3 linked regions of the Struthio camelus genome follow. The protein of the gene in region 1 interacts with the protein of each later gene in a biochemical or structural test. Links are inferred from orthologs where the notes say so. Each region holds a gene or a part of one and is shown in the gene's direction. Other genes may lie near its edges.

Region 1 (7,860 bases):
AGCTTCATCTGATAGTCTTACAAACAAACTAGGAAGCATTGGAAAATAGGTAGATGAGTCTACTGAAAATACTGTTAGGAGAGTCTGATGCTGACTGCCCGCCTAATCTAAGATTAGTTTTTAATGATACATTGTCTAACAGGAAAAATGTGTCAAGAAGAAGGTCTGCACAGATCTGTCCTCAGAGTGGTACTACTTAATAGTTTCTTCAGTGATTTATTTAGTGGATTAGAAAGTGTGCCTATCAAATTTGCAGACAACACTAACCTGTGAAGGTTGCAATGAATTTGGAAGACAAGATCAGTATTCAAATGATCTTCCCAAATGGGAGATATGGCCTGAAAGAATAGAACACAATTTATAAGGCAAATGCGAAGTTCTACGCTTGGAAAGGAATAGGATGGAGAAAAGGCTAGGCAGAGACCTTCATCCTACATGACATTATAAGACAGGGAAATGGCTAGGCAGAGACCTCCAGTCTGTCAGTGGTCTCCATCAGGCTCAGGGCCTTCAGCAGGGTACGACCCTCAGACTGACAATGGCAGAGTGATGCAGAGCCCAGAACAGCCTTTTCTGGAACTGTACCATCTGCTTTCCTCACCTCTCCAAGAGTTACTGAGGTTCTTTTGATATTTTACTTCTCACTGCCAAAATATTTACACTTTGCACGCAAGGCCTCATTCGCTTTATTACTCTGTCTGCTGACTGTACAGAATCACAGAATAGCTGAGGTTGGAAGGGACCTCTGGAAATCATCTGGTCCAGCCCCCATGCTTAAGCAGGGTTAGCTAGAGTTGCCCAGGACTGTGCCCGGTCAGGTCTTGAATATTCCTAGGGATGGAGACCCCACAGCCTCTCTGGGTAACGTGCTCCAGTCTTCAACAACTCTCACAGTGAAAAAAGTGTTTTCTTATGTTCAGATGGAATTTCATGTGTTTCAGTTGGTGCCTATTGCCTTTTGTCCTGTCACTGGTCACCACTGAGAAGAATCTGGCTCCATCTTCTCTATGCTCTCCCTTCAGATATTTATACACATCAATAAGATCCGCCCCTCCCCCCCCCCCAGCGTTCTCTTCTCCAGGCTGAACAGTCCCAGCTTTCTCAACCTCTCCCTGTATGCCAGATATTCCAGTCCCTTAATCACCTCTGTGGCCCTTTGCTGGACTCACTCTGGTAAATCCATGTCTGTCTTGTACTGTGGAGCCCAGAACTGGACACAGTACTCCAGATGTGGCCTCACTAGTGCTGAGGAGAGGGGAAGGATCACCTCCCTCGATCTGCTGGCAATGCTCTTCCTAATGCAGTGCAGAATACTATTAGCCTTCTCTGCTGCAAGGGCACATTATTGGCTCATGCTCGCCTTGCTGTCCACTAGGATCCCCAGGTCCTTCTCTGCAAAGCTGCTCTCCAGCTGGTCAGCCCTCAGCCTGTACTAGTGCAATTCCTCTTCAGCTGCAGGACTTGCGCTTCCCTTTATTGAACTTCATGAGGTCTCTCTCTGCCCATTTCTCAAGCCTGCTGAGGTCCTTCTAAATGACAGAACAACCCTCTAGTGTATCAGCCAGTCCTCGCAGATTTGTGACACCTGCCAATGCGCTGAGGGTGCATTTGGTCCCATCATCCAAGTCATGAATAAAGATGTTAAACAGTATTAGACCCAGTATCAACCCCTGGGGGACACGACCAGTGACTGGCCTCCAGCTGAACTTCATGCTGCTGATCACAAGTTTCTGAGCTCGGCAGTTCAACCAGTTTTCAGTTCACCTCACTGACCACTTATTTGTTCTATCACCTTCCCGGGGATCAAGGTGAAGCTGACCAGCCTGTAGTTTCCCTGATCCTCCTTCTTGCCCTTCTTGAAGGTAGGGGGTGACATTTGCTTTCTTCCAGGCCTCTGGAACCTCTCTCGATCACCAAGACCTTTCAAAGATAATCAAGAGTGGCTTTGCAATGACATCAGCCTGCTCCTTCTGAACTTGCAGGTGCATCTCATCAGGGGCCAAGGACTTGTGTATATCCAGTTTGTTTAAGTGTTCTTTAATGTGATCCTCCTCCAGCAAGAGAGTCTCCCTTTCTCCAGACTTCTCCTCTGGTCTCAGGGGCTTGGGATTCCTAAGGGCCAGTCTTACCAGTAAGGACTGAGGCGAAGAAGGCATTCAGTACCTCTGCCTTTTTGGTGTCCTTTGTCACCAGTGCCTCTGTCTCCTTTAGTAGCGGGCCCAGATTTTCCCTAGCCTTCCTTTTGCTGCTTATGTACTTATAGAAGTCTTTTTGCCTTTCACGTCCCCTTCCAGCTTCAACTCTAGCTGGACTTTAGCTTTAGCTCTCTTAATCCCATCTCTGCCTGCTCATATAGTATCTTTGTATCCCTCCTCCAGCTTCCAGTTCTTGTACACTTCCTTTCTATGTTTGAGTTTAGTCAGGAGCTCCTTGTTCATCTATGCAGGTCTCCTGCTGCCTTTGCTTGATTTCCTGCTCATGGGGATGGACCATTCTTAAGCTTGGAGGAGGTGATCCTTGAATATCAACCGACTCTCTTGGACCCCTCTTTCCTCAGGGTTTTATTCCATGGGATTCTTCCAGGCATGTGTCTGAACAGACTGAAGTCTTCTCTCCTGACTTTAGATTGGACCTTTTGCTTTCTACCTTCTTATGCTTTCTGCAAACAGAAATAATTGTGGCTTCAGCAGGAAATTCACCCACCGACAGCTATAGCTGTCGTGGTCCTACATGCTTTGCCACTACTGCCACTTCTGATTCCTTTAGTTGCAGCACAGTCTCTTAGCGCTGAAAAGGATAAATGAGCATCTGACTTTTGTTCCTGGCTCTTTTGCTCTGGGTCTAAGACCCAGACAGCCTCACCCTGCAAGGTCTGTTCCTATTCCTTTTTGGGGGGGGGGGGGGGGAGAGGGGCAGCCACTCCTCACTCTCTAGCCTTAGGACAACGGCAAACCGTGTGATTGAAAGTCAAGCTGTGGAAGATACTTCTCCAAGGCCTCCTACAGGCTATCTTCAGACTGGTGCAAATGATACTGTCACATTTTCAGTAGATCAAAGGGTTTTAATGTTAGAACTGGTTCAGTGGTGTGCAGAGTCATAGTGCTGTTTTGCAGGAGTCTGGGTGTGCCTGAAGGGAGCCAAGAGCCAGGGAAAAGGCACTGTCTTCCCATGAGAAGAGAAAGATGGGAGGGCAAAAGAAGAGAGGCTGTATTTCTTTGTGTCTTGTTGCTACAGGCAGCAGAAATGAGAGCGGGTACATTTCCTATGGTGCCTGTTCTTGCTCTCCAGGCTGAGGAATGGAGGCAGTGATGCCATTCTTGTTGAGCTGTCTTTGCGTCTCCCTGCCCTAAACCAGTAAGACAGGCTGAACAGGTATCATAAGCTAGTGTCATGGATGCACCTCAAGATCCTGACACAAATGCTTATGAGTCAAAGCTGCTTCACCTGCAGTTCTTCACTGCTCCTTCACTTGCTTTTGGATTTTGCCCATGCCTTATTATCTCACTGCCTACACTCTTCCTATCTACAGCTTTGTTCAGTCTACTGTTTTCCCTAGGATCAGCACTGTCTCCATCTGTTTTTCTTAAACATAATTGAGGAGTCTCTCCAAAAGCCTCTTCCCTCTGTCTCTTTTCACAGGCTCTTACTGACCCTCGATCCTACTACACATGTATAGGAATAGCATTTTTTAATAGTTGGCAAGTCTTGTTTTTCATTCCAGGAGCTTCACACTGGAAGGACCAGGTTGGTCCTAGGTTGACTACAACTTGCAGGCAAGTAGAGAGCAATATCATAAGGCAGACATCTAGAAGAAAGAAATGTATTTCACCAGCTTTACATGACACATGCAGCCTAGGGCTCTATGTGTAAGAGCGGTCATGTCAATGGCTTTTCAAGTGTTGATGTCTTAATGCAGCTGCCTGCCAGATGTAGGGTGCTTCCTTCCACATTAGTGCCTGAACTGATGTCAGAAGCGGGCATTCAAAGTGAATCTTCCAGTCATCCTCACTTGCTGTGCTTTGGTTCATATTGCAGAACAGTCTCAGAGTGTGCAAACTAGACTCCTCTCAGAGGAAACTAAGCTAGTAGATGTGCCCTGAGAGCATACCTAATGCACTTCAAGCACTAATTGCTGTTCAGTCCATGGGGTCAGGGAAGAGATAATCCAAAGCAAACCGCTCAAACATGTTTGGTATAGATCTAGGCTCTCCAGCCCCAACTGTATCTCTGAAGAGATTTGTTTCCCTTGAACCATGCTGCTTGCCATAGACGTCATGTGAATTTCAAAGCTGTGAGGGGAGCAGTCAAGAAGATCTACTGCCAAGGAATACAGTGTCTAAAACAGCACTGGACATCAGCTTTTAGTCAGATGAACTGCATCTAGGAAGCGTGGCAGGGATGTTACAGAGGAACATATTCCTTTTGAGAAGGAGGAGACAGGATTTGATTCTTCAAATACTTTTTAAAGCACCCTAATGTCACAGGAGGCAGCATACATCGTGCAAACCCCTCTTCGTGGTTCTCCCTTTCTTTTAGAAGCTATGATTGTATCAGCTCCGATTTCTCCGGTGCTCTTCCTTTGGGATCACACATGTGGCAAAAGGGATGAAAACTTTTAAGGAGTTGACATTTCTATGGCTTATCTAATGGCTACTATGTATCTATGGCTACTACATACTTTTCAGCTAAATGCACAGTTTTTACCTGTTACCACCAGCTGCAATATTTTAGCGGCCCGAGAGCCTTGCCTCCCATCCTCCTCCCCGCCGGCCAGCACCGGCTGGGTGCAGACCTCGCGCTCGGAGCAGCCCCTGCGCGCCGGGAGCCGGCGGGGCACTGCCCCTTTAACGGGCGCCGCTGGTGCCTGCTCCTTTAAGGATTAGCCCCGCCCCGCCGTGCCCCGTGAGCGTCGCAAGCCCTGGCGGACCCACGGTAAGGCACTAGACGGGGGGAGCCCCCCGGGCCGCGCCATCCTGCCCGGGCGGCGCGGGGGGTCCCGCCGCCCGGGCTGGTGGCCCGGGAGGGACTGGCGGGCGGGCGGGCGGGGGCTGCGAGGCTGGGCGGGGGCGCTGCGGCCTTGCCACCCTGGCGAGGGGGCTCCTCTGGCGGGCGAGTCGAGGAAGAGAGGGAGGGGGGGAGACGCTGCCAGCCTGTGGGGCGCCGCTGCCCGGCAGCGGCAGGGCGCGGGGCTCCTGCGCGTCGCTGGTGACTGTGCCCGCCCGGGCTGCCCTCGGCCGAGCAGGCGCCGTGGCGGCCCGTCGCGGAGCCAGGGCTCTGCGCCAGGACCTGCCCCGGGGCGGGGGGGCCTGGCGCCCCCTCCCCCCCCCCCGCAGCTCACATGCTTCCGGCGCGACCGGGCCGGCCGGGCGGGGGCGGCGGCCGTAGCCATGTCGCTCACGGCGGGGCCTGCGCGCGTGTCGGTGTCGCCCGGCGCCAGGTGAGGCCCGGCGGGGTTTGGCGCCATGGCCATGAGGGAGCTGGTGGAACCGGAGTGCGGGAGCTCCAACGCCCTCATGAAGCTGGCCGGCCACTTCACGCAGGACAAAGCCTTGCGGCAGGAAGGACTCCAGGGCCCCCTGAGCTGGCCCGGGGGGGCCCCCGGCGCCGGAGCCGTGAGTGCCGCGGCGATGGGGCGGGCTGGGGCCTGCCCGCGGTGGGGGGCGGTGAGCGCGGAGTGGGGGCGTGCAGGCCGGAGGGACTCTGGGGGCCCTACTGGTTTTTTGGGGGGGATATGGATGGCTGCGGTGGACTGCGTGCCTTACTGCCGTGGGGGTCGGCCCAGAGCGGGAGCAGTTAGGCAAACATCGCTGGGGCTGTTTCTTCTCCTTCGGCTTCTGCGTAAGCAGGCAGGTAGTGCTAAGAAAGTGCTGCTAGCCTAACTTCGAGGAAGAGGAGGATGTGAATTTATCAGGCCTTGGTGTGTGAGGTGTACAGTGTCAAAGCTGTTGGGGTGATTGCCCACTGTTCCCTGCAGGTATCCAAACCGCTGGGAGTGGCCTCTGAAGATGAGGTAAGAACAGGCTGATATATTTCCTTACTACTTTTTCTCTTAACACTTCAGTTGATACTTTTTTTCTCTGTTTGTTCTTTCTTTCTACCTAGCCTGCTCCTTTCTCGCATGCTCCATTACTTTGCCTGTTTGTCTTCTGCACTATATTCACTCTCCATCTGTCTCTTTCGCAGTTGGTTGGAGAGTTCCTGCAAGAGCAGAATGCCCCTTTACTGTCCCGTGCACCCCAGACCTTTAAGATGGATGACCTGTTGGCTGAGATGCAGGAGATTGAGCAGTCAAACTTCCGACAGGCCCCTCAGCGAGGTGAGAGGCGCTGCAGTATGTGGAGAGCAGGAAAAGACCTTTGTAGTTTGGTTAGGCTCCCAGTAGGTTGGGTCCCCTCTATTCAGCACTTGTGAGATGATGTCAGGGGGCTGAAATACATGATGGAAGAGGAAAGGTTGAGGGAACTGTGTCTGTTCAGCTTGGAGAAGAGGATTCTAATTGCTAAGATGGGATCTAATTGCTGCCTTCAGCTACGTAATGGGGAGACAGAGCCAGAATCTTTGCAGTCATGTACAACAAAAGGACAAGAAGCAGTGGGGACGAGTTGTAAAAAGGGAAACTGTCTATAGATGTAAGGAAAAGTTTCTTTCCTTGGAGGATGATTCAGCACTGGAACAGGTACCCAGAAAGACCAGGGAATCGCCATCCTTGGAGATGTTCAGTAGTTGCCTGGACAAGCCCCTGAGCAACCTGATCCAGCTTTGGAGTTACCCTGCTGTGAGAAGACTGGAGACCTGCAGAGCTCCCTTTCAAGTGAAATCTTCCTGTGATTCTGGTCTAACAGAGAGAAAGGGACCTGATCAGAGAAGATGATGGCTATCTGAAGGAGCCTGAGACATTTAAATCATGTCTCTGAGTCCTCCCATCCTCATGTATGTTTTTCTTCCTGTAGCTCCAGGTGTGGCAGCCTTGGCGCTGTCTGAAAACTGGACCCAGGAGTTCTTGGCTCAGGCAGATGGCACTGGTGATGTCTCTTCAGACTACAACGAGGCTGACTGGTCACAGGAGTTCATAGCTGAAGTGACAGGTGACGACTCCCTTTTGGAAGTAAGGCTGAGGTGTTGCCCAGTCGCATGTTTTTGTACAGTGGAGAGTTAAGTTACTGGATATGAAATTGGAGTAACTGTTTGGGCCCAAGAAGTCAGTGTTTTTTGTAGTAGTGTGAACATGAAAAGAAGCTGCTTTGGAATAGCTTAGCCAAATTGCTCGCTATCCGGTGAGGATGCTCCTATTCAGGTGTAAGGGGCTTTTTTTTTTTTTTTTTTTTAGCCAGGATTACTTGCAAAACTTAGTAGAAGCAGGCTATTCAAACTGTTTTTATAAAAAAAAAAAAAAAAATATGATTCAAACCGCTGCAAATTCTGGAGGTGGGCTGGTACTGCTTCTTCTTGTTTATGTGTGTTTCTGACCCATAGGATAAGCTCTGTGTTCCAAGCAAGGTACTAGTTTATCTGAAAAGCCATCTTGCTTTGTGTACAGAGCTGTGACCATCTATGACCTAGCTTGGAAATGATGGGAACGATTTAAATAGATGCTATTCTCTTCCCCCAGGAGTAGCCACTGTAGAGAGCCAGGTAGACCCATTCACTCACCTTCTCTCTTTATATTCCTGGGAGTAGGTACCATAAAGCCTCAACGCTTGCTAGGGCCTGATGGAAAGCACTAGAGACTTGTAATAAATTGCTAATTTTCCTGACCTACATGGCATCTCACACAGAGCAACAGAGTAAATTGTGAAATTGAAGTAGGAAATCCTAAGGACGCTGGCATATTACTGCAGTGGCATCTCTCTGAGGAGACTC
Region 2 (7,017 bases), on another chromosome or scaffold:
TTTTCTTGATGGTTATTGGGTTTTAAAGCAGATGCTAAATTTCATCCATATTTTAAGACCCTCTTATTTAACTATACGACAGCATACAAAAATGAGAGATTAGAGATACGCTGTAAATTTTTCACTAATAAGCAGGAAAAAAGGAGTTTGCAAAACCAGAGTCCAATGTGCTTGAATTGTGGGTGGAAAACAGAGTATATAAAGAAACTTGCAGATGCAAAAATCCAAACAAGAGATCTTGAAAGTACACAAACTAATCCTGTTTCCATGAGCTTTAGAACAGAACTCTCACAAGCAAATAGATACGATCACTGAAATAAACAAATTGTTCTTAAAAGTTAAATCTTCTACCAAATGAAAGTTAAATATATCACTGTAGAAAATCAGAGGTATCCTTTATGTTCAATATGGAGAGGGCAGCATTTTGCTAGCAGAGTGCCAGCTGCCAAGTTTAAAAAGAATGGCAAATGCAGGATGGAACTAAACATTTAAAGCAGTTCTTAAGTACTAAGAAGCTGGAAAACAGAGACTGGTGGTCATTCTGCAGGGATGCAGTTGATCGTGTAACAGTAGTAATAGCATGATAAATTCACTTATCAAATGATGGCATGGCCCCCACAAATGGTAATCAGCTAAGACTGATGGAGCAACAAGGACACGTGGTGGGGGGTGGCTATTTCATCAGTTATTACTGGCCTTGAAGCCCGTGTATTGTGGAACGACAGACCAAGTGTAGTGAAAAATGTGCCCGTGGCAAGTCTCACGCTTCTTGCTAAATCTCCCTGTCTTTCTTCCTCCCTTCCAATGTGTTTCCCTCTTCTTACTTCTATTCTTTCAAATCCCCCAGGACAGCGTCCATGCTAACTGCCTTGTCCTTCTACTAACCTCGCTTTCCCCGTGTGACTCTGTATTCATTCCTGCAACCTCCTTTGCTTTCCCCTTTCCCCAACTTTCCCTTGTTTACTTTCACTCTTGCCTATTTTTGCAATCTTACCATGAACCTTGAGACACTAAATGCTTTTCTTAAAGCTTTGACTCATAGCCCCTATTGATTACACAGGAATTTCACCTGGGAAAATCTCTACATTCCTATTAGTCAGTTAGCACTCACTATCGTAGAAGAAACTTGATAGCATGCAACCTAGTGGCTCTGTAACTAGAAAGCAGAAAAAAAGTCTCCTGCAGTCCCTAAGTATTCTTAATGTTTTAAACCACCTATCCTCACAGCTAAGGGAATAGTTCACAACCTGCTTTCTCCGGAAGAAAAACTCTCGTCATAATTCCTTTCAGTACTTGGACTAGTGCCTTCCTGATAACTGTTTCTGGCAACCAGCGAGGTTTTTTTTAAGGATTTGTATATACAGCAGTGATCGTTACCAGCTCAACTCACACCTAAGCTAGCTGTCAGTGAGCAAGCTGAGGAAATGGTGGAGATATGTCTGTAACAGAACAGAGCTCAGCAGACTGGGAAGAAGGTAAACTGCGTGCAGAGATATTGCTGTGAGCATCCCAACTACCTAGTCTAACTCTAACAAGGGAGATGGCTTAGAGAAGTGACTGCAGGAGGAACGTAACTAAAAGTTATATGCTGATTAAATGGGAATTTAGTTCAATGAAGTGCGCTTGAGTTAGGAAAAAAATCTCAGCGTTGTGAGGGAATTTTTCTCTCGAACTGTGGGATCTCAATTTTTAAGTGGAACATGGCTGCCACCTACTGATGCATTCTGCATACACGTTTTTATCTCAACTTTGGTGAAGGGCTGGCTGTTGGAACATTTCTGTTCTCATCTTTCATGTTTCTTGAATTTAGCTCACCTGTTTCAGGAGGAAATACAGTCACGTTTAGCAGTTTTGTTTGTTGGATCTTTCTCTCTGCTTGTCAAACAGCTTTTTCTTCAGTTGTTAGTGTATCTGCCTTGAAGTCTTCCTATGTAAATACTTTTACTTGGCATATTATTTTGCTTCCTACTTCTAGGGATCTTAAAAACCTGAATTCACAAGCTTTTCTGTGAAAAAATGTTTAGGGAAGTGTTACAACAAACTAGGTCCTTCTTTCAGGATTTCTTTGTAACCCTCTATCCACTTCTTGATATGTGTCTAATTTTTTTCTGAGTTGTCTTTAAAACAGAGCTGTGCCAGTCGTAAGGACAGCTTCCTGCTTGCATAACCTCTTTGTGGAATTTTATTGATTCTAAAAGATGAACTAGATTTGTCGGCTACTTTGAAAATGCACACGATGAAACTTTTCCAATACTTGGATGTATGCGTGGTAACTTGTCCATAGAGTAGCTGGAGATTACGCCACCGAGTACTTGAACTCAGAGCAAACCTTTGCAAAAGGCCACGTCCAGATTTACTTAGTATACCACTGCAGAGGGTATATATCTTTTTGAATGGTATTATTGACTTTGCAGTCACAAAAGACAATTACTTTAAAAACACCTGCCAAGGAAATTGCCTTGTGATGTGTGCTTCCAAAAGGCACATTGATTTAAAAAGATTTCGCAGAGGCTAAAGTTGGTGGAATTCGGCCTGCAGCAGTCAATTCAATAAGGCATTGTGTTTGAGTGTTAAAAAAAAACTCTGCTTGAGTGTTAAAAAAAAACTCATCTCAAATGATGTCTCTCAGTAATTCCATCTACAAATTGGTAGTTGTGAGTATAGGAGCTGCTGTGAGCTTTTGTGCTTACTATAAGCACAATGATATGCTACATTGAGCTTCACTTGCACTGTTTGGATTGATTTTATTCTAAAATCCTGGAGGCTGTTTGATAAACATATTTGTTTTCATTTTTATCAGGAGATCAAATAATTAGTAAAACCGCATAGTTCAGTGATCGGAACGTGAGTGTCAGTTTAAGGAGTTATATATTCATGAGGCTTTACAATAAATTTTGTAGTTTACAATAGGTTTTGTAGTTTAAATTTAAGGCTGAGGAGCAGCCTGAGTATGTAGTTACCTTCCAAGCTCCACGAGGTGACTCTGATTAAATTGTCTTATTCCCCTTTGTCTTACTTCCTTCATGTGTAAAATAAGAATTTCCTGTATTCATCTCTACACATTTAAATTGGTCATTTTAACTTATTAGGGTAGCCTATGTCCAATTGGAATCATCTCCATGAATATTTTAAAGTCCTATATCTCACATAGGATAAGATATATCAGAAGTTGCAGCTGCTGCTCTGCTCAAATATTTTTCTTAGCCCGAACCCCTCCTCCTTTCAGAGGCAAAACTCCCACTAGCTTAATAGAAGTTGTCATCGGTATGAGAAAATTTGTTTGTTTGTTCATGAAAGAACCTCAATAAAGCGTAACTGCCTCACAACAAAGAATGATAAATACATGCATACTGATATACGGAGATCTACTCAGCAAATGACAGACTGAAATAGCTTGGAAGAGCTTTTTGAAAGAATGACAATATACCCACTAAGATCAAAAAATCACATTTATTCAAACAGAGAACGAGGTGCTAAGTATCTTACATGGCGTATAAAAGAAAGGACTGTCCACGCAGTTTGGAAATCTTTTTCTCTAGCAAACATAGTTTTACAGAATTATCACAAAACAATGGGTAGTCAGCGCTCGGAGGCCTGGTCCTGGTCAAACGACCTTTGAGTACATGAATCACGCAGGCATAGCTGTCACTGCGCGGTAGTAGCGAGTAGGACGGCCTAAAATTACGGCTTGTCTTTGAAGAGACCCGAGAAGAAAGCCGCAGCGGACACGGGCCACCGCGGACACGACCCGGCCGGCCCCGAGAGGACCCCGAGGAGCGGCGCCAGGAGGCGGCGGCAGCGTCACGGCCCGCCCGCCTCCGCCACCGCCCCTGCCAGCACCAAAGATGGCGGCGGCGTGGCCTCAGCGCCGCCCCCGCGCTTCCAGCCGGGCGGCGCGGGCGCGGCGAGGCGGCGCGGCGCGGCGCGGCGGCGCCTCCTTCCGTCCCCGCCTGGGCCGGGGGGGGCGACAGGCCGGGCCATGGGGGCGCCGGGCGGCCGGGCCCTGCGGCTGCCGGGGCTGCACGGCTACGCGGCGGAGTTCTCGCCCTACTGGCCGGGGCGCGTGGCGTGCGCCGCCGCGCAGTACTACGGCATCGCAGGTGAGAGGCGGGCCGGGGGGGCGCCGGCGGGGCTGTCCGCCCGGCGGTGCGCGGGTTGCGTTTCCGGCGCTGTTACGTAATGAAGAACAACAGCAACAGCAACGGAAGAAGTGGTCTGGCCTGGTTACCTGCGGGCGAGACCGCTTGCGTCGAGTCGTTTCGCCCTCTCGAAGCGTCAGGGCGGGGGCGGCCGTCGCTGCCGCGCTCGCCTTGCGGTGGTGGTTGGCCGCTCTGCTTAACTGGAAGCAGCAAGGCTTGGGTCGGTTGCTGTTCTACTGTTTATCAGACACAAGGTCTTCCTTTATTACGGTAATTACGTCTGAAGAGCAGGTCAGGCTTCTCTGCAGTGATTGCCGTGAAGCGGGTGGCCCGCGCGCTCACGAGCTGTGAGCTGAAGAGCCATGCAAACGTTTGCTGCCTTCAGAGACCGGCAGTCCGTGAACTGCGCGCCTGTGTGTCTGCACGTGTAGCAAGTGGCTTGCGAAGCATTTTATGTTTTCCCTTTCTCTTGTTTTTGCTTCGCGTGGATGTAACTGATGCATCTGTTCTCTTTCCGTGGAGTACAGTTAATTTCAGAACAAGCTGCAAATCTGATGCTTGCCCCGAAGTCGCCCACCAGCTAGGTTTTCCTACTTAAGAAAATAGAAAACAACTTTTTTAAAAAAAAAGTCTTCTTTTTCCTTTTTTTTTTTTTTTACTTCTAATAATAACTTCTCAGAGGAGTACTGATTTCATAGGAGTTGGAGTAAATGCATAGTAGAGGAGACAAACATAGGTTAAATAAAGTATCTGAAAATATTTTCTCCTTAAAACTTTAATTATTCTGTTCTCAGTCATTGAGTTGTTCGGGCAAGGCCTGGCAGCTCTCTGCAGCCCTGCTGAAAACCCAAGCTGAGCTTTTTGCAGTATTGGACCCCTTTTCATTTCTTCTAGCAGTATTGTCTCTAAAAGCGATAATTTTAACTAAAGCTTCTAAATGTTACTTTGATGTTATCCCGGTCACATAGAAGAATAGTGCCTGTGTGTATTTTCTTAGAACTGAATTCTTCATTTTATTTTTGATGAGCTGCATTTGTATTACCAAGTACCCTTTTCAGAGAGAGAGGGAGAAAAGTGTTGCATTTGTTGTGTTGTCAAAAGATCTAAAGGAGCACCATCCTGGTGTGCTTGTAACATAAGGCATGTGGATGAAACACACGTTTTATGCTTTCTTTACAAGTGAGTTGTTTCTTTTCCAACCTTACCCACAGATGTACTGGGAGAAAAAAATATAAATGAAAAAATATTTTAGAGGCATAAAGCAGAGAAAAGGAGCTGTTAATGGCAGAAGCAATTAGTTGTAGGTGTAAAGAAATTCAAATGCCATCCATGTTTGCACTGTATAACTACCCCAGAACACTAGCTTCTACTGGCATGGGGGAATTAATTGTGATAATTTGTTTTATTTTGTTGTTTTAGGTTGTGGAACTCTGGTAGTACTGGAACAAAATGAAGCTGGGATTGTTCTGCTCAGAAGGTAACATAAGTTTATTTTTACTAGCTTGAAAGTAGAAGTTTTAGCTTTTTAGGAGCAATGCCTTGCCACCTAAATTTGTCCGCTTCTGAATGGCTGTATTGGAAATGGAGCAGAAAGTGCATGGGCAAAGTCATTCAGGTGCTTTCTAGGAGCTATGGTATTCTAAGAATTTGACTTGCGTTCTGGATGGGAGAAGGAGTAGAAAGGTTAGGAGGGAGGGGGTTTAATACTCGGCCATTGTTCACTTAAAAATGTCTTAAAGTGTAAAACACCATTTGTTTAGTTTACTCTGACAGCTGAAATAGACACATGTAACAAACAATGATGTAGTTTATCATGTTCAGAGAAGCAATTTTAAATTCATAATTATACAGCAAGCCTATTTGCAGCTGTTAAACACTCGATTAGTTCTGCTACATGCTCTGGTTTAGTAATGTTCATTTCAATGTTTCCAGAGACTCCACTTACTTTGTGGTAGAAAGTCCTGTCATTTTCTGAGCCATGAGCTATGTCATGCTCTCTACAGAAACTTTTGGTGTGCATGCTTTTTCCTAATAATTGCTGCAGGGTCCCATGAAGTTAACTTGAGCTTAGCTGAGCCTTCAGTAAGAACGGGGTAAATAACTTCATATTTACCATGAGATAGCAGCGTGGTCATTGGCAGTTACTGCAAAGCAGCTGATGGGTGGTATTTTTTTCCCCATAGGATGAATTGTTGGTGTGTCAAAGCCCTTTTAAGGGTGTAGGGAGATCTTTAAAATGTTCATAACTGTCCTTCTGCTGGCTTTTCATTTTGACTCAGCTTCTTATTGATGTTCTGGATTGGACAGAGCTTTTCCAAAACAGACATTTTTATTTCTTTGTTTACCACTGTTATTAAAATTCAAGATTACAATCAGATTTGTTTCTCTGTGTTGAAGATCCATGGGTCATTTATGCTTTTAACCTAATCAGCCTATTCTGACATACACTTGTAAAAGTTTTCATGGTATTAACTAAGTTACTTGTAAGGAGATTCACTGGAAAATCAAATATTTTAAAAAGGATGTTTAGAATGCTAAAGAGGGTGATTTAAAGAAATACTGTCTCTGCATATAACTATCCAGACGTTTATGTCACGCTTTCTCATGGACAAATATCTTGATTGTTCTGATTTAGTTTTGACTGGAATGATGGTCTATTTGATGTGACGTGGAGTGAGAATAATGAACATGTGCTCATCACTTCTAGTGGGGATGGATCTCTGCAAATCTGGGATACCGCTAAAACCACAGGTCCACTGCAAGTCTATAAAGAGCACACTCAGGAGGTAAACCAGGCAAGCTTGAAAATTGTAATGGACTGTCTAATGCTTGAGTTATTAAAAGAATTAGTTGTGGACTCATTGTCAAAAGTGTTCTT
Region 3 (7,004 bases), on another chromosome or scaffold:
CATGGGCCTACTTTCTGGGTTAAATAATGGGAAGGAGAGCAATTATTATTACCTTAATGCTAACTAAAGAAAAATAGTAAACATGTGTGATATTTTGGATCTACTGTATTTTAAAACTTTGCTAACAAAGACATATTTCCTACTCCAGTTCTGACCTTAATTTCTTTGTTTAAATTTCTATAGTTTAATCAACTGTGTAGGAAAAACAGCTATGCAAACTGCGTGCACAGTCAGTACCCTGAATGTCTGAACAAGGGAGGGAACGGCGCCTGAAGGCTGAGAGGCTTTGTGCTCTGTGGAAACGGGAGACTGTCTGACATCCCAGCCCCGGGCTAAACCCTTAACACGAAGCGGCTTAGGGTTGCGCTCTGCAGCATGCAAGACCTGTGCGCTTACAAAATGCAAGGTGTTGGTGGCTGCAAAAAGGAGGGTCTGGTTTATGCATCCTTGCGAGGTGCTTTAGGTTCAACTCTAAAGGTGGAAGGTCCAACCATAGTGGAAGGTTTTGTTATGAGAAATAGTGTGTAGAAGATGAAAGATGTTAAGAATAACTCACCGAAAGCCAGTTCAACTATTTGTTTGTTAAAGGTGAGAAATTTGAATAATTCCTGATACTAATTTCAGGAGCAGCGGGTTCAATCAAGTTGAGAAAAATCAAAGCTTAACTAAAACTCACATCCTTTTCTTAATATGATTGATGTATTAATATGATTGCAAAGAGATGTATACAGAAAACAGCTCTTTCAAAGAAATCACTAGCTTTTTATTTTAAATGCACAAAGATTGTGGTTAACCAGAAGTAATGAGAAATATCTCATTTAGTGACAAACCAGCACTTCTCTGCATTCTTGTCTAACACACAGGCTTGGATAACGCTCAGGTGTCTGTTGCAAATAAGTAGAATCCAACCATGGAGAATTCACAGGCATCTAGTTACTCATGTTGCCTCATAATATTTCATATGTACAAGGACTGACTTGCACAGGACTAAGAAAAAACTTAGCACCAAGGAGCAATTCGAATGCAGACTCTCTCCGAGGTCTCATTGCTGCTGATGAGAATCAAAAGCAGTTTTGACTGAATTGCTCATTATCATAGCAAAAATATCAAGGATATATGGGCAACCTCTGAGTACATATTTTCACAAAGCTTTTCAATAGGCATGTCAGTATTGCCAATATCTTTCTCTGTATTGAGAGGATTCCCTCGGGAGTCATGAGAAAACAGTAAAATGAGGTGCAGTGTAGCTTCTCTGCTGAAATGATAACTTGCCATGGACAACGATGCTTCACTTCCTTCACTTGGAACTGGTTAAGGAAGAAGCGATGGAGAAGGGATCCATGCCATTCATAAGATCAGAAACAGGTTTGTACCGTGATGTTCATATAGGTCATTTCTGGTTATTGCTACTGCTTTTTTCAAAAGCATACAGAAAGAAAAGGGAGTCCTAAGTTAAAAGGGAGCCTTTCTGAAGCGCTGCCCTGGCTGGGTTAGTGGTGTGCTGAGATGCTCTGCCACCACGCGTTACCGTTCAGAAACGCCTCCAAGTTCTGTCAGTGCCGTGTTTGATTTATGCCAGATGCCTGCCTATCTCTTCCTGCCTGGCCAATCCAGGAGTTGCACTTAGTCAAAAGATACAATAGCCACTATCACAAAACCTGGCAGGGGCATTCTTGAGATATAAATAGGGTGAATGTTGTACTTGGAGTGCTATTTAGCCAATTATTCGTTAATTCAAAATTACATACGGTGCACAATACACAGAATAATGCATCCACAAACATCCTGGGGGTCTTAAGCAGTTGGGGTATTATGTGGAGCAAAGACATGTCCCCTCTTGTGCTTTTTTCCCATCTTTTAGGAGAAAGTGCTGACATCTATAGCAAAAACTGGTCATGCCTTGAAGGCCTCGGTACAGAATGACTTCTGTTAATCTTCTGTTCATAGGGGCCAGGGCTGTGGGAGTTAGACCAAAGATGCACTGTATTGTGCCGGTCATTTTAGTAAGGAACAGAGATACAAAAAACAACGGTAGCTCTAGAAATTTGAAATTGCTTCTCTTCATAGCTGTCTGCATAGATGAACATTCGTTATGGAAAATCACACATGTAGCTTATATAGAAGGGGAGGACAAACAAAACTCTTCATCCTAAAATCTGGTGTACATTAGTTATGGGAACATCAGTAAGGCACAGTGTGTTCCAAAAGACTTTAGCACACGGAAGAGTAAGAGCTTCTCTATGAAACGGCCACAAGAGTTGGTATCACATGGGCAAATCAGCTTGTTTGCTGGGTCTCCTTCTCAGGAAACGATACACCGGGAATCCCCCAAAACTTTCGGGCCTTGCGTAAACATCTGACACAAAGGTTTTCAATCCGAATCCTTCAAGTTTGGCAAAGTTATAAGCAACTAGAAATAGAGTATCAGAATGAAAAACAGCAGGCAGTTTTAAACTTAGCTGGCACTGTGACCTCTGTTTGTGTTTGAGGGAGGAGAGGTTTCCGAATCTGAAAGGTTCCTCTCCAAAATTATAGACATCCTGCAGTCACTTAAAATAGTGTGCATTTTGCCATAAATGCCTCACGCCCATCAGCTTTTTCACTTTAAAGCAAACCAACCTTTGCCTTTCTTTCTGCCTCCTTCCCTATCTAACCAGTTCTCTGTTTTCTTACATTCTCAAAACTTGTAGAGAAATCAAGCTATACAGTTACTCTGGCAGAATTATTCCTCATTTACTTCACTATTACAGAGAAAAAAAAGCCACAGGAACTATGCATCGAAAAAGGTCAGCGATTAGCATAGCTATAATAAACCTGGTCTTTAGTTTTTCCATTTAAGAACACAGCTAGATTCTTTGAAGAGTTAAAAATATTTTATGTGCTCAAATCTTCCAAACGGGAAAGAAGTTCGTACACATTGGATTCCTTATCTTGTAGCAGCTCTTGGATGCTCAAACGAAAGTCTGCTAAGTTGTGGCTTTGCAGGATTTGCGCTCTTTTTGTAGGATCGAGCTCTGTAGGCGTGTAGACATTCGGGAGGCGAGAATGATTCCTCAGGTGCTGCGCACACAGCTGGCGTGTCCTTAGTCCTGCTGGTGGTTGCACGTACAGATGCTGTCTGGGCAGCTGCCTGCTCTTCGTTGAAATGCCTGTGAAAAAAAGGCCTGTTTGGCAGGTTCCTGGCAAATACTGTTTGACAGGGCGAGGGCAGAGCAGTTTCCAAACACCTGAGCCGTCCTGCATCTGTTCAAGGCCTAGTGCTACGGCAGGCAATTATTAGCCGAAATGTCGTGCCAGAAAGGGAATATCAGTTCTGGAGGTGGGTCTGCACGAAGCAAACCCTGTCTCATCTGTAAGACACAGAGCTGCCGTATCACAGGACAAAGTAAGGCTCTGACTAATGAAATTATGGTCCTCAAACCATTTTGGCAAATGTTTGGCTCTGTGCCCATGAGTCCCCAGGCATATGAGATTAAGCTGGACCAGTTATTACCCGCGAGAAAGTGAACTCTTCCCATGAGGAAATTGTGTCCTGGAGCTGAAAACCCCTGGTATACAGTTTCATCAAAATCCCAGTGATCCTGCAAGCAGCTTTATTTTTTGACAAACTTGTGTTTTCTGGTGAAGAAGATTAATCAAAAGCAGCCTGACTAGCCAGGCTCACTAGTCCTTTGCCACTTAGCAGGGACTTGTTCTTCATCCAACTGGGATGACTAAAAACAGGCCTGCAGATACGCTGCGCTATTAAGATCCTGATTACCACCATGATTACTCGGGTATTTGGGCAACCCCAGCGCAACCTCAGAAACATTAGGAACATGATCAGTTGCTCGGGAGCGAGGAGAAGAGAAAATGAACTCTGCAGGAAAATCACCAAGAAAAAAAGGAAATCAGCGGTGGGTGAAGCAGGGCAGAGCCGCAGCCGGCTGCCGGCTGCCTGGCTCTCCCGGGAGATGCGCCAGCTCCGGCGGCCTTTGCCCGGGCACAAGCAGCTCCTTCATCAGCGGCAGGGAACGAGGAGGGCGGGCGTCCGGGGAGCAGCCAGCGCGGCGGGGTCGGTGCCGGGCAGCCCCGCGCTCCTCCCCACCAGCAGCGCTCCCTCCCCGTCCCGCTCGGCCGCCCTGCGCTTCCCGGGACGGCAGCACTTCCAGGCACCGCCCGGTCTCTTTCCCTCACCAGGTATTTCCCTTCTCTCCCTCCCACCCCCAACTTTTTTTGTTTTTCAGTATCTCATTCCAGCTCCCTCCCGCTCGCCGTGGGAAATCAGGGCGCGGGGGGGTCCTCTGGCTCTGCGCGGCGGGTGAGGCGCCCACGGGGGCCGTGCAGGGCTCCAGCGCTGTGCTAGGACTTTTCGGCAGGATGCAGAACAGCTCCCGAAGCCCGTGCGAGGAGGGGTTTAGGCCGCGCGCGGAGGCCGGCCGCGCAGCAAAAGCTCGTTACGGCACAACTTGCTCGGTGGCAGCGCTCGGCAGAGGGTGTGAAACCCCTGGCGTTTGGGAGGGAGCTCAGAGGCGCGATAAGCCTCAGCTCCCTCTGCGCTTTTTGCTCTCGGCCGAACAGAAATGGAAAACAAGTTTTCCTTGCCCGGGCAGAAGCAAGAGCACCGCTTGGCTCGGGGGCCTGCTGCGGCCGAGGTTACTGCCGCTCATAACCAACAGCGCGGGCACAACCTTCCTTGCTTTAACAGGCATTTCCCAAGCACGCTGCTGGGACCAGCTACCTCAAAGCGTGTGAGGAGGAGAGGCCGAGGAGCTGGAGGCCTCCCCGGTAGCCTCGGACTCTCCCCTACAAGCGGCTCAGATGCAGGTGGCGGTGCTGGGAGCGTGCGTGGACCCAGCGGGAAGGCTGAGGAGGGTCCCGGACAGCTTCCCGCCCTGCGGCGCCCCTCGCTCGGGGAAGGGGGTGTCTTTGCCTCCGGCCCGCGACGAAGAGGCGTCAGCCCCCCTCAGCTCGCTGGGTCAGGCAACGGGGAGCAAAGCCGAGGGGGCTGGTAAAACGCGGAGGTAGATAAATCTACCAGTGATCTGCCAAAAAAGAGTGTAAGCATGTTTTTTCGGCCTGGTCCCCGGGCCGGGCTGTCAGGCACGCTGACAGAGGTCAGTCTGCCGGGGGAGGCAGCCACATGGAGAACAGGCCACGGCGAGGGGGCCGTGCCGGTAAAGCAAAGCTGTCACAGCAAAAGCTTTAGGCTGAGGCATCCCTCTTCGGGCTGAGGGATGCCTGTTTCCCAGGTCTGTCTGAGCCGGAGAGACCGCTGAAGAGGCAGCCCGCCCAGACAGCTGGCCAAAGGGCCGGGCACCTGGGCACGTAGCCGTATTAATCATTTTATCCACCGCTAAAACGAGGCTAACTGGGGCGGCTAGCGGTGCTCGGGCGACGCGGGAGCTAAGAAAGGAAAAAGAACAGATCTCGTTTGAAAAGCTGCAGTTTAGGCCCTCCACGGGTCGTCACACACGGCTGAGCTTGTCTCACCGCCTGCAAGAGCTGGAAGACTGAGTCACACCACGAAATACCACGGTATTTTTACCGAGAATATCATTCTGGCCTTGGAGGGGCAGGAGGGGGGCAGGGGCCGTGCAGCCTGCGGCGGGGAGTTGGTAGCCGCTTTGCTGGGGAATCGCCTGTGCCTCTGACTCCTCCTCGCTCTTCTTGGTTTCGGTCCCAATCTTCTGGCGCCAAGAACGGGCAAAGAGCTAAGCGGCACCTAGCTCCCCCCACCCTCCCGCCAAAACCCTGGTTGCTGCAACTGGTTTTGCTTTTTAATATCGATTTTTGCAAAACTCTCAGCAAAAGCCAGCCTGGGTGGGGGGTGGGGGTGAGGGTGGTGAGACTTGCCAACTAGGATTGAGCTGGCATGCCACATGGGATAAAAATAGGCTATCCTCATGTGCCTCCTCGGGTAGGTCCACAGCCCCTGCCAAGACGGCTGTGCTGCCAGCCGCACGAGCGCAGGTAACTCTTACTCTCATTGCCGTGTTGTTAGCTCTGTAAAACCCACTCTGCTTGCTTATACAAGCTGGGTAGCCTCTAGCCTCTGTTTGGCACCAGTTTTTGGCATATTAGGAGGTTAAGGCCTGATTTGCCCCTGTACAGCAGCAGTAAGCACTAGGAAAAAAAGGGCTGGTTAGTTTTTCAGTTGTGAGTTGTGGGTGGCCGTGGGAGGTCAGTCGGGAAATCCGATCTCCATCGTGGGCCGAGGGCTTCAGCGAGCGTCAAACAAGAGAGGTGAGGGGCAACTAAGCCTGGGTCTTTGGCAGATGAATAACGTGTCCGTCATGTATGTCCCAGGGGCGGCTGACGAAGCAGGACTGGGTTCATCCCCGGATTGCTCTGAGGCTGTGAAAGTACTCGGTGGGCATGCAGAGAGCGGCATACAATTTCCACTACAGCTGCCAGTGGTGAACGAAACGGTTTGTTGTTAATTACAATGCTGTGAGACACTTTTTTTCAGAACCTACTTCTTTAACCAAAGCAATTTCTGAATTAAAACTCCCCTCATTTTCGGTTACTTTTTTTTCTTGTTCTGTTTCTAAATAAAAAGACTAGTGCAAAATATTTTGGAGAATGCGGGAGAGAAGTACAAACCGCATGACCTGCCAAACGGGAACCACTCTGACATTCTGTAGAAATTCCTTTTGCAGTTGGTTCAAGCAGTGCCTCGTCTAGGAGGCTCTGGGGCAGTGGCTGAGCTGAGAGACGAAGCTGACGTTCGAATCAGTATTTTTGCAGATTGGGTTTCTGGGTGGCAGCAATACAGGTCCAAGGTTTTGGTGCAGGGTTCATCTTTACCCCAGTGCAGTGCCCTTTTTCTCTGCTGCGTGGGCACTTTCATAGCTGGCTTGCAGCCGAAGATAGAATAATTAACAGGAAGACTCTTAAGCGTTGCCCTGAGAGGGAGAACAGGGGCTGTAACGACGCTCAGCTGCAATGCCATGACGGGCGACGGTGCCTTGTCCTCTCTCCCTTCCTACGCAGCAGGAACATCATGTTATCAAGCTCTGATA

What was found.
Region 2: the proteins of PEX5 (region 1) and PEX7 form a complex in vitro, tested with the Homo sapiens proteins (3 studies listed by BioGRID). The link is inferred for Struthio camelus from reciprocal best matches to the Homo sapiens genes PEX5 and PEX7.
Region 3: the proteins of PEX5 (region 1) and DDO form a complex in vitro, tested with the Homo sapiens proteins (2 studies listed by BioGRID, with this or other methods). The link is inferred for Struthio camelus from reciprocal best matches to the Homo sapiens genes PEX5 and DDO.

What each region holds. Positions count from the first base shown.
Region 1 is NC_090942.1:90,422,133-90,429,992, reverse strand, and holds the start of PEX5 (peroxisomal biogenesis factor 5), read left to right. Parts: upstream 1-4,820; 5' UTR 4,821-4,932; intron 4,933-5,341; exon of another isoform or gene 5,342-5,437; 5' UTR 5,438-5,462; coding exon 5,463-5,612; intron 5,613-5,974; coding exon 5,975-6,010; intron 6,011-6,183; coding exon 6,184-6,316; intron 6,317-6,950; coding exon 6,951-7,085; intron 7,086-7,860.
Region 2 is NC_090944.1:74,137,363-74,144,379, forward strand, and holds the start of PEX7 (peroxisomal biogenesis factor 7), read left to right. Parts: upstream 1-3,920; 5' UTR 3,921-3,979; coding exon 3,980-4,100; intron 4,101-5,558; coding exon 5,559-5,616; intron 5,617-6,774; coding exon 6,775-6,925; intron 6,926-7,017. UniProt on the Homo sapiens protein: Receptor required for the peroxisomal import of proteins containing a C-terminal PTS2-type peroxisomal targeting signal. Specifically binds to cargo proteins containing a PTS2 peroxisomal targeting signal in the cytosol.
Region 3 is NC_090944.1:60,569,917-60,576,920, reverse strand, and holds the start of DDO (D-aspartate oxidase), read left to right. Parts: upstream 1-3,907; 5' UTR 3,908-4,179; intron 4,180-5,231; exon of another isoform or gene 5,232-5,517; intron 5,518-5,903; exon of another isoform or gene 5,904-6,288; 5' UTR 6,289-6,410; intron 6,411-7,004. UniProt on the Homo sapiens protein: Selectively catalyzes the oxidative deamination of acidic amino acids. Suppresses the level of D-aspartate in the brain, an amino acid that can act as an agonist for glutamate receptors. Protects the organism from the toxicity of D-amino acids.